4 linked regions of the Schizosaccharomyces pombe genome follow. The gene in region 4 interacts genetically with the main gene of each other region. Each region holds a gene or a part of one and is shown on either strand. Other genes may lie near its edges.

Region 1 (2,802 bases), 4.1 Mb from region 4:
AAAGAAAGAAACAGAACATTAAACATAAATATACTCTAAGTAGTTCTAGGACCCAATTTGTCTAGTGCACGTACTCCATACTCCTCCCATTCTGCCTTGGACACCCACATGTGATCGTTTTGAGCCATGATATCTGCCAATACGGCGCCGCCGATAAACACGGCATGACGGCGACGAGGAGCGTCTTCAATCTTAACCTTAAAGTTAGGCAAACGTGCGGGATCTCCATGAAGAACACGCTCAAACCATAACTGTTTTATTTCCTTTTCAAGACGTGAAGGAAGACCGGCATACATACTGCTACCACCTGAGAGAACAATGGCGCGATACAAATACTTGCGAATGTCCACATCAGCTGCTTGGATAGTGTCAAAAATAAATTCACTCAAACCTGGTTGTTCACTACCAACCAGATGAGGTTGAAATAGACATTCTGGACATTCATAACGCTCAGAACCAACTTTAATAACTCTTCCATCAGGAAGGGTGTAATTACGCATTAAAACGGTAGTTTCTTCGCTAAGCTTATGGTCCAATTCCAAATCATAACTAACGTAACAAAGTTTTTCTTTCATCTCGCGAACAGTTTCAAAGTCTGCTGTACGATTGAAAGCATAACCCTTACGAAGAAGTAAGCTAATCAAATAGCGGGTAGCATCCCTACCGGCAACGTCAAGGCGACCAACTAAATGATTTAAAACAACACTTTCATAGACAGGCACAATATGGGTTACACCGTCACCAGAATCAACAACTACACCACTGCTTAATCCCTGTGCGTATAAAGAGAGAACGGCCTGAATGGCGACATAAACACCACCAAAACCATACCGTTCAAACATTGTCTCACACATTTTTTCGCGGTTAGCAACAGGATTCATAGGGGGCTCGGTCAACAAAATTTTCCTACCCCTCGGATCAATTTTTAGTTTTTCAAAGAAAGTGTAATCCCAAAGTTGATTCATCTCTTCAAAATCACGGATAATGCCATTTTCCATGGGATATTTTACTTGAAGTAAAGATCTCACCGCCTCAGCTTCATCACCGACCATAACATCTTTAATTTGAACATTTCCTGTTTTCTCTTCAGCACGTAAAATGGGCCTTCCTACGATGGATGGGAATTGAAAGCGCGGAAAATTGTCTTTAGCATATCCGACCTTGCTAACGTTAGTCACAGTGTAAACAAAGATTTAATTAAACTGATTACCTTCACAAAACCAGTTCCATTATCTAGAACAATGGGAGCAGACTCCATTTTATAAACGTCTCGTGTAGTTGGTGAAAGGTTAGTTCTTAAGTCCACCCCTATGTAATGTACCGGCGGTAACTATCTGCCATATACCGTATGACACAGCAGCACTGCAACTGTAGCAGAGCATTCGGTGATATATCGTAAATATGTAATATCGTAGGAAAGCGAAGTGCAGTAATCTTGAGAATTATAAAACAGAAATGAAGTATCTAAATTAATTTAACAATTGGCTGCAAAAAGAATAGCTCAAAGGTTTTTACGGTTAATGATCTTATCTTCTATTGTACTTAGCATTAGTATCGTTACCCCTTATACTCAAAGCCATAACTGTGCATTTATAATTGTTCGGCAGTAATGTATATTATCGCTTATTAGTTAAAAGATTCTTCGTTTCACATAGTATTACTATTATTTAAAAGAAAAACACGGACTCTATTTGTTTGTTTAATGTGCAGGTAACACTTCGATCGTTTATTATGAGATTGGTATGACTAGGAGCGCTGTGCAAAAATGAAGAATCGCGGAACCGATTTAATAAAGAATTTATTTCTCTAGTAACTAGATGTGTGCATTAAATTGAATACAAGACTTAAACAAAAGAATTATAATTATCGACATATACCATTATTGAATATTTGTCATCTGTTTACTGAAATAAGTGGAGCAATGCAATTTGAGAATAACACATATCGGTTTAAAGATCCTTATTATATTGCTATTACTAAATTAAGGAGTGTAACGTTTCGCAGCTAAAACATTTCGATACAATATTTGATAAAAATAAATGGAGGATAAATACATTTTATTGTCAGCAGGTTGGTTATAATTTTTATTTAATAGCTCAATACTTACGTGTATATAGTGGAAACGTTTAAATCACGTCTGGAAGAACTGCTAATGCAATCGGCCAAAGTACAAAAGCAAACGATGCTTAGAAAGGAATTAGCTTCTTCGATGAATGATATGGCTTCTACGGTACAAGAAGCTTTAAATAAAAAAAAAAGTTCGTAAGGTAAGCACTTGGAGACTCAAAACATTATAGTTCATTATAGATTACGAAGGCAGTTCATTCACTATTGTTTTAATAAGTGTTTGTGAAGTACGACTTGAAGTTTTCATGATAATAAGTTATTATAATCATATAATTTCATTGATGTTTATAGTAAACAATTGTTCATGAAGCGAAAAAAAAAAAACCATTAGAAAACTTCCCTCTGAGCAAATTATGATTACAAGCCTATCGTAAAAAAACCGTCTATGTTATTTGGGACTGTTATTGAGCCAGTATTAGGAATTATCAAAAAAGATACATTCAGGCGTAAGTTACGTCCACTTTTTAGTTTCAGATTCATCAGAAATCGAATAATCGTCACTGGGAGTATGTTTGATATCAAACGTTCTATCAACTCTAATCGAAACCTCGGTGGTTTCTCCTTGCGCAGATGAAGTTTTCATGCTTTGCAATTTCAGAGCTGTACTAGACGCCCATAAACTCGAAAGAGGAAGAGAAATGATTAGCAGACATTGAGTCATAGAGCTAAAGCCAT
Region 2 (3,593 bases), on a different chromosome or scaffold from region 4:
GCTATATTGGAAGTTATGAATCCTAGCACTACGGCTTTGAAATGTGCAATGAGGTTGCATTGGTCCATTGGTGTAACGTTAGAAAGACTTTATCAAGCTGAGATGGACGGTTACATTGTACGTGATGTTTATGAAGAATCTGGTTCTAGCTTACTATACTGGAAAAACGAATTTGACGAATTATCAGAAGAATTGACTAAATGGTTTGATGAATCATAGGAATAATAACTGTACACTATCTAATTAATATTCATTCCTTTTAACATTGTATTTTTCTTTCGCTTTAGTAGATTCCTCTCTACACACGCCTTAATTAATATGACTACCTGTTATGGGTATTCGATTCCCAACGTAACCATTTAATCTTAACCTACACCTATTTTATTTTTAATTCATTTGAGAAACTGTTTACACGATAGTTTCAAGAAATCTAATATATCAATATTAATAATTGTTAAATATGGAGACGTACGAGCAAGAATATCGGTATGTCTAATACCATTACAAGTTTACTAATAATTAGCTTGCTTCGAGCAGATATCGAAGAAAAACTTAATGATTTAAGTAAAAGTGGTGAGAACTCTGTTATTCAATCATGTCAGAGACTTTTAAATGAAATTGATGAAGTAGTATGTTGGAATAATTTGTGTTTTTAAAAAAGTGGCTAACTTGCAGATTGGTCAAATGGAAATTGAAATTACCGGTATCCCTACTTCTGAAAGAGGTCTCGTAAATGGAAGAATTCGTAGTTATCGTTCAACTTTGGAGGAGTGGCGTAGACACCTGGTAAGTTAGCTATATCGAACATTCTTCTTTTGAAGCTTTACAGAAATTACTATGAGACAATCTACTTTTATTTACCAAATTCATACTAACAATTTTCTCGTTTAGAAGGAAGAAATTGGCAAATCAGATAGGAAAGCCCTTTTTGGAAATAGGGATGAAACATCCGGTGATTATATTGCAAGTGATCAAGATTATGACCAAAGAACTCGTTTGTTACAAGGAACAAATAGACTTGAGCAATCTTCACAGCGTCTTCTTGAATCACAACGGATTGCGAATGAGACTGAAGGCATTGGTGCTAGCATTCTTCGTGATCTTCATGGTCAAAGAAATCAATTGGAGCATTCTTTAGAGATGGTAAGTAATTATTGCAAAATAGATAAATGAATCACTATGATTGATAAGATAAAATGCGCGATTTATACGCATATCTTAGCCAAGCTTATTAGCTCCATGGTTTAAAAATATAGTTTTCTTTTATGCTATGTATAAATTTCTTTGAGATTTGTTAACCAAATTAGCTTGGAGATACGTCTGGACACCTTGATCGAAGTTTAAGAACTCTGAAGACAATGGCAAGAAGGTAGGACACAGATAGACATTATTATAGTGATATGAATCGTCATGTAATGATCTTTTATACTAACTCATTTTAAAGACTTGCCATGAACAGATTTTTCACGACAGCAATAATTGCAATCCTTGTTATATTAATTTTGCTTGTGCTTTATAGCAAATTTCGTTAGCACAAATATTAAAGAACATCATATAACTTTAGATGGGATCTTTAAGCGTATGGGTCTCTTCCAAGTGGAATTTTACGTTTCTTGCATAATTCGCCCACATTTGACTAGCTAGCTCAACATTCATATTAGACATATTAATTAGCTTTAAGAATGTCAGCGGAAAGTTGATATGTACACAAATATTTGACGTCGTAATCTTACCTGTAATGAATGATTGAGTCTTGTAATACTTTCATTCAGCTTTTCTACATTACTTATGATCCTTCCTAATAATGCGCTTTGCTGTTCTTCCATAGGATTATTCATTTTCGATGGTTTTCAATTTCCTAAACTGTAATTATGTAGTCTGTACTTGGAAGCTTGCATGAGCCAGTGCTGACACTTCGTAGTTGGAAAAATTGAACTACAATTTTAAACCTGTGATCTAAATTTTTTTTAAGAAATTGAACTTTTTGGGAATTTATGAGTTGCATATTTATTTGAGAAGTATCAGTTGATGTTACCACCTACATTTTTATAATATATTTACGATCAAAAGGGCAGTTTAAAATATAAAAAATAATAAATTTTAATATGAAATATTGATTGAGTAAATTTTTATAAAAGGATATTGAATAAAGGATCCAAGAAATAGCCCTCCATAACGCGTATAGAAACAAATATTTATGAGAAGCAAAACATCCGAATAGTATAAAGAAGTGTGTAGTATGAAAAGGTATCAGTGCTAGGATATGGTTTATAGTGTTGTAAATAAATTATCTTGCACACCAAATTTAAGTACTTGGTCAAATGCTAATATTTAATCTCTTGATATTACTAAAATTAGACTTACTGTCGAAAATGCTGCCGACGAATGCTAAGAATTTGATCCCTTTGTGCAGGAGGTAATGCGTTAATTTGCTCTGGGGTAAGAGCCAACAATTGTTGTATGAGGGCCATCTGTTTTGTTAGTGCAAAAAAAAAAAAAAAAACGTACCCGCTTCCCTTCATTGCCCTGATCTGAACCATTCGCTTGTTGACTTTTATGGTTACTAGAAGGTATTTTTTGGGGAACAGAAGGAGGAGAGGAAGTTGCTGAAGCTGGTTGATGCATGTTTTTATTCTTCACTGCGACTACTACTTGTTGTAAGACATTTGCGTCAACTAAGTTCATCAGCAACATAGCTTGAAAGGCGGCGTATGGTAAAGCAGGATTAGCAATTAGAAGTCGTCGTGCCTCTTCTGGTGCTATATGAACTACAGTCTGAAGTTTGGACAACATATTGAGAAGTTCCTGAGCTGAGAAGGTAGATAGTACCTGAACGACAGACGGGGCCAATGGGATAGAAGTCGGATTCGATATAGAAGTCCCGGAAGTGTAATCCCCTTTGTTTTGTGAAGATTTATTATACTGAAAGGTTCTTGCATTGTATGCATCTGTATGGGGTTGACTGGCAGAATCAAAGTCGGAGGTCATACTGTTGTGAAAATTATAAGCAGGAACAGAAGTAGAATTTATATTTTTATTAAGATTAGTAGCCATTGACGACGAATAAATAGCAGGACTTGGCATCCCACCTCCTTGTGAAGCAGGCAGGGAAGATGTTGAATGCAAAACAGGAGGAATAAAACGGGAATTATAAGAACTTTCATGAGCATTTTGCTGTTCCATGTATCTATCAGTACGCTCCGTATATTCATAACTTTGATTCCTTCTGGGATCATTTGATGGAAACTCGACACGAATCTTACGAGGTCCTAATTCGGAATTATTTAACTTTCGTACAGCCATAGCGGTAGTCTCACTATCAAAAAACTCACAAAACCCATAACCCTTCCCACTACCTGTTTCCGGATCAAGTACAAGTTTGAAAGTCTTTACTGGTCCAACTTGATTAAAGATTTCAGTCATTTGCTGTTCCGAAACATCATATGGAATGTTACCAACTAAATTAGATTAGCAAAACCGAATATTTAAAGAATTATTACCAAATACGACATTCCCGGCTGTCATCGACATGCTGGTAGTCGCGTCTTTCGGTTTTGCCCATTCAACCAACGTACTGCTACTACTACTACTAC
Region 3 (6,114 bases), 550 kb from region 4:
ATTTCTCTCAAATCTCCTTAACACGATTACTTCTCTGGATTATACAACCTTATTATTCCCATCGCCTGAAAATTACGGATCATTTTGTAACGGGGCACGCAATACTGTAAGCCAACAGCATTATTACGTGGTATTGCGTGGAATGGCATTAATTTTAACGCGCGCTTTGATTAAGGTGGTAAGCACAATCACAGAGATCTAAGGCAAGCGACAGATGGCTCAATATTGTCTCGGCTAGGGGTTAGAGTTATTTCGAGCGAGAATGAGAGTAATTTACACGTTGTATGCTGCCATATCATAAGAGTGTTTGGGTCTAGCCGGTGATCAGTTTTTTTTTTTTCCTTTCCACAGTAGAGAGGGATTTTTGGCGTCATCTCGTACTATGAAATACTCTTGTACTTTGAATTACCCTTGTACTTTGCAGCACTTGGAAAGCTGTCCACTATTTTCATAACCAAGCAGAACTAAAACCCAACATATACTGCTCGTTTTCTAAACGTCTCACGAACTAATAGCCAGCTAAGACACTTCAAAGTACGATTTTGAATATATCAACAAAGATTTTATTTATGACCCCCATATCTTTTTGTAGTACCAAAACAACATATCTAATTAATACATTTTATATAAATAATAAACAACAAAATTATTAACGACCTCCCTTTCGTTGCTTTGAAATCCTCCACTCATCGGGTTTTTCAAATCGATTGTACAATGGTAGCACCTTGAGATTTTTCTTGGTTTTGGAAACTTGATTTGCATTGGCAAATTTAAAGAATGTTGGTGCAACTTCCACAAGCCATTTTGGATTCACTGTGCTTACCGTGTGCATGTATTCTTTTGACGTTTGAATCAGTTCATGGTATATCACCCACTCTGCAGCTTTTCCAAATAAAACTCCACTAGGATGCATGTATACAGGAGCATTCTCCACGATCGTTTTGTAACATCCCTCGTGAGAGTCTCGCTTGGCAACATTGGTAAAGTAGCCAGAACACAAAGCCCGTAAAATAAGTTCTCTCTTTCTTCCACATGAAACAACTGGGTGTCGATACCGATCCATTAGGCGAATAAGCTGTTTGCGTACATCTTCAGCTCGACGCATACCACGGGCTTGGATATAATGTTCATAACACCAATTATCTGAGCAACGATTCATTTTCCAAGTCGTATACACATTAAGTAAGGTTAAGTGATCACTCTCAGGATTTGCAAATTGTGCTCGTTGTCGATCAGCTTCTTGCTGCTTCTCCCTTGGTCGGCTCCAAATGTTAGGTACGCTAAGCATGGCAATAATACTCAACATTTCTTCAGAGCAACCTAATTCTACGCTAGTAATCAATACTTTTGACAATTGAGGCTCCATCGGGAAATCTGCCATTTTTCGCCCAAGAGGAGTCAGCAATCCCTCATCGTCCAAGGCCGACAGTGCATACAGATTTTGCAAGGCGGCTATCATGGTTTGAGCAGGTGGAGGATCCATAAAATCAAAATTCAAAAGGTCGTTAATTCCCATTGCCTTTAACATCAAAATAGTATGCGACAAATTTTGGCGTTGTATCTCAGGAATCGGGGAAGGCAACATTTCGTTTCGGTAAGCGCTTTCAGTATACAGACGATAACATTTTCCGGGTCCTGTACGCCCTGCACGACCACTTCTTTGCCTAGCTTGTGCTTGAGAAATTGGCGTAACTATTAGAGAATCCATGCCTAGTTTTGGATCAAAGCAGCTCTGCTTGACAAACCCAGGGTCCACCACATAATAAATTCCATCAATTGTTAAACTAGTTTCAGCAATGTTGGTTGCAATTACTACCTTACGACCTCCTGGGGGAGCAGGTTCAAAAATACGACTTTGTATTTCCGAAGGAAGCGCTGAATAAACAGGTAAAATAACTAGCTCAGGAATCGAATCTCCTAGCATTTTACTTCTTTCATATAATATTTCACAACTAGTATCAATTTCTTCTTGACCTGTCAGAAATACTAATATATCACCAGGTCCTTCGCTCAAGTGGATTTGCATAACAGTCATCAAAGCAGCATCAAGATAGTCGGCTTCTGGTTGTTTTGTATACATGATTTCGACGGGATATGAACGCCCAGGAATCGTAAAAATTGGGCATTTATAGAAATAAGACGAAAACCGCTCAGCATCTAGCGTGGCTGAAGTAACAATTAGCTTTAAATCTGGCCGTTTCAAAACAGTTCCCTTTAACAGTCCAAAAAGTACATCAGTTGCAACGGTTCTTTCATGTGCTTCATCTAAAATAATTACAGAATATTTGGACAAAAGAGGATCAACTAAACATTCTCGTTGAAGCATACCATCAGTCATATATTTAATTTGGGTCATTCTACTGGTCTTATCTTCGAAACGAATAGTGTAACCAACCTCTTCACCAACACGACATCCCACTTCTTCTGCTACACGTTTGGCAACAGACATTGCAGCTACACGCCTAGGTTGAGTACAACCTATCATTTTGCTATCACTGGTATAACCTTCTTCAGCAAGATATTGAGTGATTTGAGTGGTCTTACCGGAACCGGTTTCACCGAGTAGAACCAAAATTTGGTTTTTTGAGACAGCCTCGAGAAACTGTTTACGAAGTTTAAAAACTGGAAGACCCTCTCTTTGCTCTTTCATGCTCAGTGTTGTTCTTTTACCGTAGGATATATTTGCATTTCGTGTTGCTTGACGCCAGCTGGGAGTTTCAGAAGTAAGTTGACGAGCAGCTGAGTCTCGCACATCTTGGGCAAATTTCCGATCCTGAGGATTCGACATAGTGTCTTGCCATGAGAGGGATAAGTCTTGCTTTTCCATTTCTTGTTCACTCTTTAATTTTGCCTCCTTTTGTCTTATTTCTCGTCTATCATTTGCTAAAATCTGCCCTTGCATTGCTGCTCTGGACAATGAACCATCCGGGGCCTTTACAACTTTTATAGGAGATAGCTTTAATGAAACTTTGGTTTGTCCTGCGAGAAATCCAGGTTCTTCTTCACGAAGTTCGATTTCTACGTCTTCATCATCTTCGGGATTAATTTCCGCAGCATTATTAGTATTGAATCCATCGTTGAGTTCAGGAATATCCGTAGCGGAAATTGCACCGGATGCAGCAAGTTGCTGTAACTCCCATATTTCAGGTGATGTTAAACGCTTCCGACCGTTTGAAGTGAACGTTTCAAGTGGATTCACATGTCCAATTTCAGAATTTTGGGCTGATAATGGAATAGCGTTTGCTCCACTACCCTTCTTTGTAGAACGTGAAACTTGATCCGGATTCAAATCCTCACCTGTAACTTGATTCACCTCCTTCATTGACAGGCTGATTCGCTTTGCTGATTCATCAATTCTAATAACTTTTACAAATACAGGTTGTCCATAGCTAACAGCCTCTGAAGGATGATCCAATCTCCCATTTAATTGGATATTTGAGATATGAACCAAACCATCAGTTCTCTTTCTAAAGCCGTCCAAAGTTACAAAGGCACCAAAGTCCTTAATACCTGAGACAACACCAGAATAAATTCCATACAATGTTGGAGCATTTAGCAATGGACCACGCGATGATCGACTAGAATGTGATTGACCAGAAATTGAGGTACGTGAATGATGCGAAAAACTGGGACTAATTGATCTCTCTCTACGTTCCCTTATTCCATTGAGGTAATGCCGCTCATCCCTCCTAGAATCCCTATCGTTTCTCCTTGTTTTGGCCAACGTCGAAAGTTCTTCCAGCTCGTCCATAGCATTATCCATAAGCGCTGGTCTATCCCTTAAATTATTCGTGCTATTTGGGATGCTTAAGCCAGGAAACATCTTTCTTTGGTGTTGTTTGTCAACATCTTTGCTATCTAAATCATGCGAAGCTCCATTGACCGAGTTACTACCATTATTTACATTATCAGTGGGAATGTCATCTTTAGGCTTAATTTCCTTAATTAATCGACTTATGTTTTGAAGGAAACTGTCGGTGAATTCTCCTCCACATGAAAGGACATTATTTTTAAACTCATCGTAATTCTTAGACTGATCATGCAAATTAATAATAAATTCTGCAAGAGTATTATCGTCAATTCCTAGATTTGGTTAATTATTTATAAAAAAATGAGTATTAAAGCCTACTACTTACCAGTATGATTTCGAATTTCAGAGGCAACTTTAGATACCAAGGATAAATACTCCAATTCTTTCAGATCGTCCATTATTGTCTTTTCTCCCACTAGGATTCACTAAAAATTAAATCGAAGTTTGAAGAAGACTTTCAAAATTGCTCCATACCAAACATAGGTGTATGGTTAAAAATGAAACGCGTGCAATAGACAATCGCGTTTCCTAACTTTGTACAAATAAATATTCATGGCTGTCAACGCAACGAGTTGCGCCAAAGGCAAATAAGGTAGCTGAATTACAGTTCGTTATAATAATGTCGAGGCTCTACTTATTATTTGAACTTTGAGTCCGTGTTGTTTACAATAGGAACTGGGGTGAGTTTCGTACCTTATTAAGAAATAATTTTTGCAACTTGAATGTTTAATTACTGTCAAAGTTTACGTAAGGTATTTCTAGAATGTTTTAATGGCTAAATCAATGACAGGGCGTAGCGAATATAAAAATATATAAGTCTATCTACAGTTTTCAACGATTGATACGTACTGAAGTGCTTTTTGCAAGTATGCTTGTACACTTGACATATTTATTACCTATGCAAATCAACGTAAATACTTTAATAGCGCTTTTCGAAAAGTATCGATCTATATTAATACAGTACTACGGCACCTCATATGCTAATAGATTTATGTCATTTGTACTGTATTTTAAACACAGTATTTGCATGCATTGTTACAGAGCCTCTGTGATTAACTCACACGTAATGAGCATTCAAAACGCATTACTCTAAATGTCTACAATATAATAACCGTAAAAATGGCTCAGAAGTTCTGAGAGTCATTTCATATCTCTAGATAGTCTCTATAACGTTAAGCTTAATTAGACTAACGGTTCAGTTGCAAAATTACTGGATACATCAAAAGAAAGCTTTTGAGCAGAACAACAATTGATAAATAGTGTCAACACCCCAGAACCCAATTTTTCCTATAGATAAAGAAAAACACACCAACAAACACACATTATTTCCTAATTCCCGGAATCCCATATAACCTACTTCTAACTGATGGTGACGACAGTGGCTTCTTCAGTAACTTCAACAGAGTCATTCATGTCAGCTAAGGCAGATTCAGCGTTAAAATGAGAAAAGTTGCTCCATTCGACTTCCTCACCAGACTGAATAAATTCATCCAACAAGCCAGCACTGGCCGCAACCAATCCAAAAATCGGTGGGGAGGGCTTAAGTGGCTTAGATAAATATTCAGGATGGTATTGTACGCCAACAAAGTAAGGATGGTCACGTTTCTCAATAATTTCCATACGCTCACCACGTTCATCTTTTCCGATGAAAGAAATTCCACCTTGTTCCAAACGGCTTACAAACGCAGGATTTATTTCATATCTATGACGATGTCTTTCCAAAACTTCATCAACCATCTTATGAAGTTTACGAAGTTTACTCCATTCGGAATTGGGTTGGAAAAAGGTAGGTCTCAATCCCAAACGCATAGTTCCACCCAGTTTATCCTTATCAATCTCAGGCATATAAACAACAACATTGTTTTCGCATTCCTTATCGAATTCTTCAGAAAATGCACCTAGAAATGTTAGTTAAAAATCTTTTGAAAGAAGCAAAATAAAAAATATGCTCCAATTAATAATAACTGTTTAACTATTCATGTAGCACTTGTCTACAGTTAGAGTCAACGGAAAATGACAAAAACCTCTAGTAAGTGCATGGAATCTATAGATCCCAAAAATAATAGAAGGCAGTTAAAAATTTAAAATGGAGTCCAATAAAAGCATCAAAAAACATACCTTCAATTCCACAAACACTTCTCGCGAATTCAATAACGGCAACTTGCATACCAAGGCAAATGCCCAAGTAGGGTGTATTATTTTCACGAGCCCACTTGGCTGCGGCAATCATCCCTTCGACACCGCGAGAGCCGAATCCGCCAGGCACTAGGATACCATTGGCAGAACAGACTAAATGCCATGCC
Region 4 (3,285 bases):
GCCGTTTTATGTGGTCCTATTTGCCTTGCCAAACAAATTATTAACGTTGTTCAGCTGGTGAATGCTGCCAATGCCTTGGTTAAAATGGATGTTGAGCAAAGAAGGGCTGCAAAGAAGCTTCAATAAACACAGGGTTATCCTATTTTCATATTTTCTGTTTACCAAATTTTCTATTTTTAATCAGGATGGTTTCAATCTGAACATCCTCGACCTTAGATCTGCAAGCTTACTTTGTGCATTCTCTTTGATTTTACCTCTTATAATTCAATACCTTTTTTTTGACATTTTCTCTTTCTAAAAGCCTTAATTCTATTGGGCTAAGCACTTTTGTGTTAAGCTTAGCCTTTGGGATTATTTTCTGTCACCTTTAAAAGCTTGGTTGGAGTGATTGCACTGATTAATAAAAAAATGCATCCACAACGTGAAGCCATTCGTCGAAAAGCTTATTTAGAAATAGAATGCTTTACTTATTTAAGCGATATAACTTTCACTTTACTTCAATAAATTTAATCGTTCGTTGCATTAATTTAAAAACATTGTTTATGATAAAAAAATCCTATTTAAATGTACATAGTAGATTTTTTTTTAAAAGATAAATGTATGTGTGTATTAATTTACCCATAAATAAAGCGTCCCTCAAATCTTCACCCTTTTTACACGTTCCATGTCAGTTACACTGGTCTCAGATTTTACGTTTTCTCCATCCAACATTCTATTTGTCCGCAATTCATGCTTAGCGTGCTTGCTATTTGATTTTGAAACATGTTTTCGTTTTTTATCGCCGTTTTTATTTGATTTCTTTGAAGCCTAAGTATGTTAGTCATTGCCGAATTTTGAAAATTCTGTGAAGTACCTTATTTAAACTGTGAGTCTTTTCAGATAATGCGAGATCAAGAAGGCGTTTACTTAATGTTTTTAATTGCTCAGCATTCGGGTTGATGGGAATAACGTCTTTTTCCTCGTAGACCTGATTACACTGATGTTGTGTTAGCAATAACTCAAGGGTTGGAAATGCTTTTCTTAGCTATCGATAGACTTACTTGAAAACACATTTTCTCGCCAAACTGCTTCAAGGCAGAGTATTCAAATACATGACCGCAAGGCACTATGTAGGCGAATTGGTATGTATCAGACATTACATGTCTTGTAATCGGGCATAACCATAGCACTTTACCGGAATCATCCAGCTCAACTTGAAGTTGTACCACGTCTTTCAGTGATTTTATATGAGAAGGGCTTTTCGGAACACTTGACCTATCTAACAGCATTTGTAAAATGCTTGCTTTGTTATACAGTTTTCCTAAACCACACGATACAATTGGAGGGTATAAGGGCTCATCCGTAATGGCACACTGAGAAAATTGAGAAGATTTTACAGAACGTTTAAAGTCTATATCAAGCGGCGGTACTTTGCCAGGCTCTTTCACTAATTCGTTTCGGGTTGGTAATGATCCTCCTAAAACATGTTAAAATTTAGAAGCAAAATAAACGAATCCTACCGTCATTTCCCATAGTTTACTTGTGTGTATTAAATATTACAGAGTAGTGTTAAGTAAGCATATTTCAAAGAAGCGCTTACATTCCACGACTGCATTTACTGCATTCTACTATAATGCACTAAAATTAAACGTTAGGTTTCGTTACGCAAGATATACCGAAATGTCAAATACAATTTTCGCTTCAATGATCTTCGCTTATTTTTAAACCTTATTTAAATTGCAAACATTTGTGATGGGAATACGTAGTTGCGTTAAGGACTTACGAAAGTATACACCAAAAGCAGCAATTTTTCTTCTACAACAGCTGGTTTGTAGGTTTCAACTACGAGTTAACTGCTTCTTTCATACATCTAAATCAATGTTATATGAAACATTTTGTGAAATCCGAAACCTCTTACTCTTAGTATCCAGTTGAGTTCGAAAATTGGTACTGAGTAGCTATTAGTATTTTAGGCCCCTTTACTTACTTTTGTTTTTGTTAACTTAGATTTCGGACCCTTTTTTTTTTATTCATATTGAACCTTTTCCTTTTTCTTTTTCAGGTCGTGTTAAATGTCGAAAACTGTTAATTTTAGGGCAACAAAAAATTTCTATTTACAATTTGTGAGCGTCAGTTCTCGGGATACATCTTGTATTCCCTGCATCCACTTATTTTTTGATTCTAAGAGGTATGTATTTGGAAGCGTAGGGGAAGGTTGTCAAAGAGCTATACTCTCCCAACAGCTTCGATTATCAAAGATTAAAGATGTCTTCTTAATGCAAGGATCTTCAATATCATCACCAGATACATATGATTCTTCTTCTTCATCGTCTACTACCTCTGTTTCTGATATGCTACAGCTGGATGATCGGGACAAAGTTATTGTATCTGAACGTAATAGTATGTGCTCGACTGTAAACTATCCTACATGGTGGGATTCTTGTGGTGGGTTTCCAGGTAAGTGTTAAATATATTTAATAATTTCTGACAATAGGCTTTTTGCTGTCTCTCAATGATATTTCGGAACCTGGGGAAACCGGAGAAGCTAGTCCTTTTGTCCTTCATGGACCTAGTGAAGTTCATCAGTTTTTATCTTCGATGCGGCATTTCACTTATCATACGAATGTAAATTTAACGGTACAGGGATATACTTCGGCTGAGGCCCCAGTATTCGTTGATGAAAATATTTGTGTAACTCCGGTAGTTGTTTCACTAGTTAAAAATTCTTTTAAAAAAAGGAAGCATGAAAACATTAACAGAGGTACAAATGCAAGACCATTAAAAGAGGATAGAGCAAATACTTCTCCTCATTGGTATTCTCACGTTTCCAATGATACATCATTCGTCGTTGAGAATGCAATGTATAACACTCCGGCTCCTTTGGAACCAGACAAGCCAGAGCTGTTTATTTCTTATATTGTTCAATCCCATCCTACCCCAGGGAAATTTGACGCCGCAAAAGCAAAATCGCTTGGTATCACGAAAGGATTAGACTGTGGTAGACTCGCTCGAGGAGAACCTGTAACTCTTGAAAACGGAAAAACAGTATATCCAAAAGAAGTGATTGGTCCTTCTATTCCTGGCTCCTCCTTTTTTATTATTCATTGCCCCAACGAACTCGTAATTGACTTGGTCATTGAAAATCATAAATGGACAAATGCACCTAAACCTGTTTGTGTCATTCATTCGGTTACACCAGAAGTATACAAAAATCCACGTTATCAGAGCTGGATTTCTTCATTCCCAAGTGAGGTGAGCCATCTAATTGCTTCGACTGAAGTAAACGAAGTAATAAATTATCCTAGG

Evidence for each region.
Region 1: mutations in rtf2 (region 4) and fta6 together harm fitness more than expected from each alone (negative genetic interaction), as found in Schizosaccharomyces pombe (one large-scale study listed by BioGRID).
Region 2: mutations in rtf2 (region 4) and dad4 together harm fitness more than expected from each alone (negative genetic interaction), as found in Schizosaccharomyces pombe (one large-scale study listed by BioGRID).
Region 3: mutations in rtf2 (region 4) and prp22 together harm fitness more than expected from each alone (negative genetic interaction), as found in Schizosaccharomyces pombe (one large-scale study listed by BioGRID).

Annotation. Positions count from the first base shown.
Region 1 is NC_003424.3:4,781,511-4,784,312, reverse strand, and holds fta6 (protein Fta6), read left to right. Parts: upstream 1-2,006; 5' UTR 2,007-2,039; coding exon 2,040-2,070; intron 2,071-2,117; coding exon 2,118-2,266; downstream 2,267-2,802. Other genes in the region: ARP2/3 actin-organizing complex actin-related protein subunit Arp2, read right to left, coding at 36-1,160, 1,211-1,258; pheromone p-factor receptor Mam2, read right to left, coding at 2,579-2,802. UniProt on the Schizosaccharomyces pombe protein: Component of the kinetochore, a multiprotein complex that assembles on centromeric DNA and attaches chromosomes to spindle microtubules, mediating chromosome segregation and sister chromatid segregation during meiosis and mitosis.
Region 2 is NC_003423.3:4,004,497-4,008,089, forward strand, and holds dad4 (DASH complex subunit Dad4), read right to left. Parts: upstream 1,887-3,593; 5' UTR 1,839-1,886; coding exon 1,734-1,838; intron 1,706-1,733; exon of another isoform or gene 1,675-1,705; coding exon 1,561-1,674; 3' UTR 1,533-1,560; coding exon of another isoform or gene 1,445-1,532; 3' UTR 1,370-1,444; coding exon of another isoform or gene 1,308-1,369; 3' UTR 1,144-1,307; coding exon of another isoform or gene 892-1,143; 3' UTR 787-891; coding exon of another isoform or gene 676-786; 3' UTR 630-675; downstream 1-629. Other genes in the region: ESCRT II complex subunit Vps36, read left to right, coding at 1-219; SNARE protein Vti1, read left to right, coding at 461-486, 524-629, 676-786, 892-1,143, 1,308-1,369, 1,445-1,532; cleavage and polyadenylation specificity factor complex subunit Ctf1, read right to left, coding at 2,361-2,471, 2,509-3,458, 3,501-3,531.
Region 3 is NC_003424.3:1,206,276-1,212,389, forward strand, and holds prp22 (ATP-dependent RNA helicase, spliceosomal Prp22), read right to left. Parts: upstream 4,305-6,114; 5' UTR 4,210-4,304; coding exon 4,137-4,209; exon of another isoform or gene 4,084-4,136; coding exon 650-4,083; 3' UTR 537-649; downstream 1-536. Other genes in the region: CTP synthase Cts1, read right to left, coding at 5,171-5,709, 5,930-6,114. UniProt on the Schizosaccharomyces pombe protein: Acts late in the splicing of pre-mRNA. Required for the splicing of introns with a branch nucleotide to 3'-splice site distance greater or equal to 15. Mediates the release of the spliced mRNA from spliceosomes.
Region 4 is NC_003424.3:651,723-655,007, forward strand, and holds rtf2 (DNA replication termination factor Rtf2), read right to left. Parts: upstream 1,551-3,285; 5' UTR 1,513-1,550; coding exon 1,500-1,512; intron 1,457-1,499; coding exon 1,041-1,456; exon of another isoform or gene 977-1,040; coding exon 854-976; exon of another isoform or gene 808-853; coding exon 637-807; 3' UTR 503-636; downstream 1-502. Other genes in the region: phosphatidylinositol synthase (CDP-diacylglycerol--inositol 3-phosphatidyltransferase) Pis1, read left to right, coding at 1-126; 3' tRNA-processing endonuclease tRNAse Z L2 Trz1, read left to right, coding at 2,052-2,436, 2,474-3,285. UniProt on the Schizosaccharomyces pombe protein: Putative splicing factor that is required for the correct splicing of a subset of pre-mRNAs. Required for the correct splicing of rtf1, a replication termination factor that mediates site-specific replication termination at replication barrier RTS1.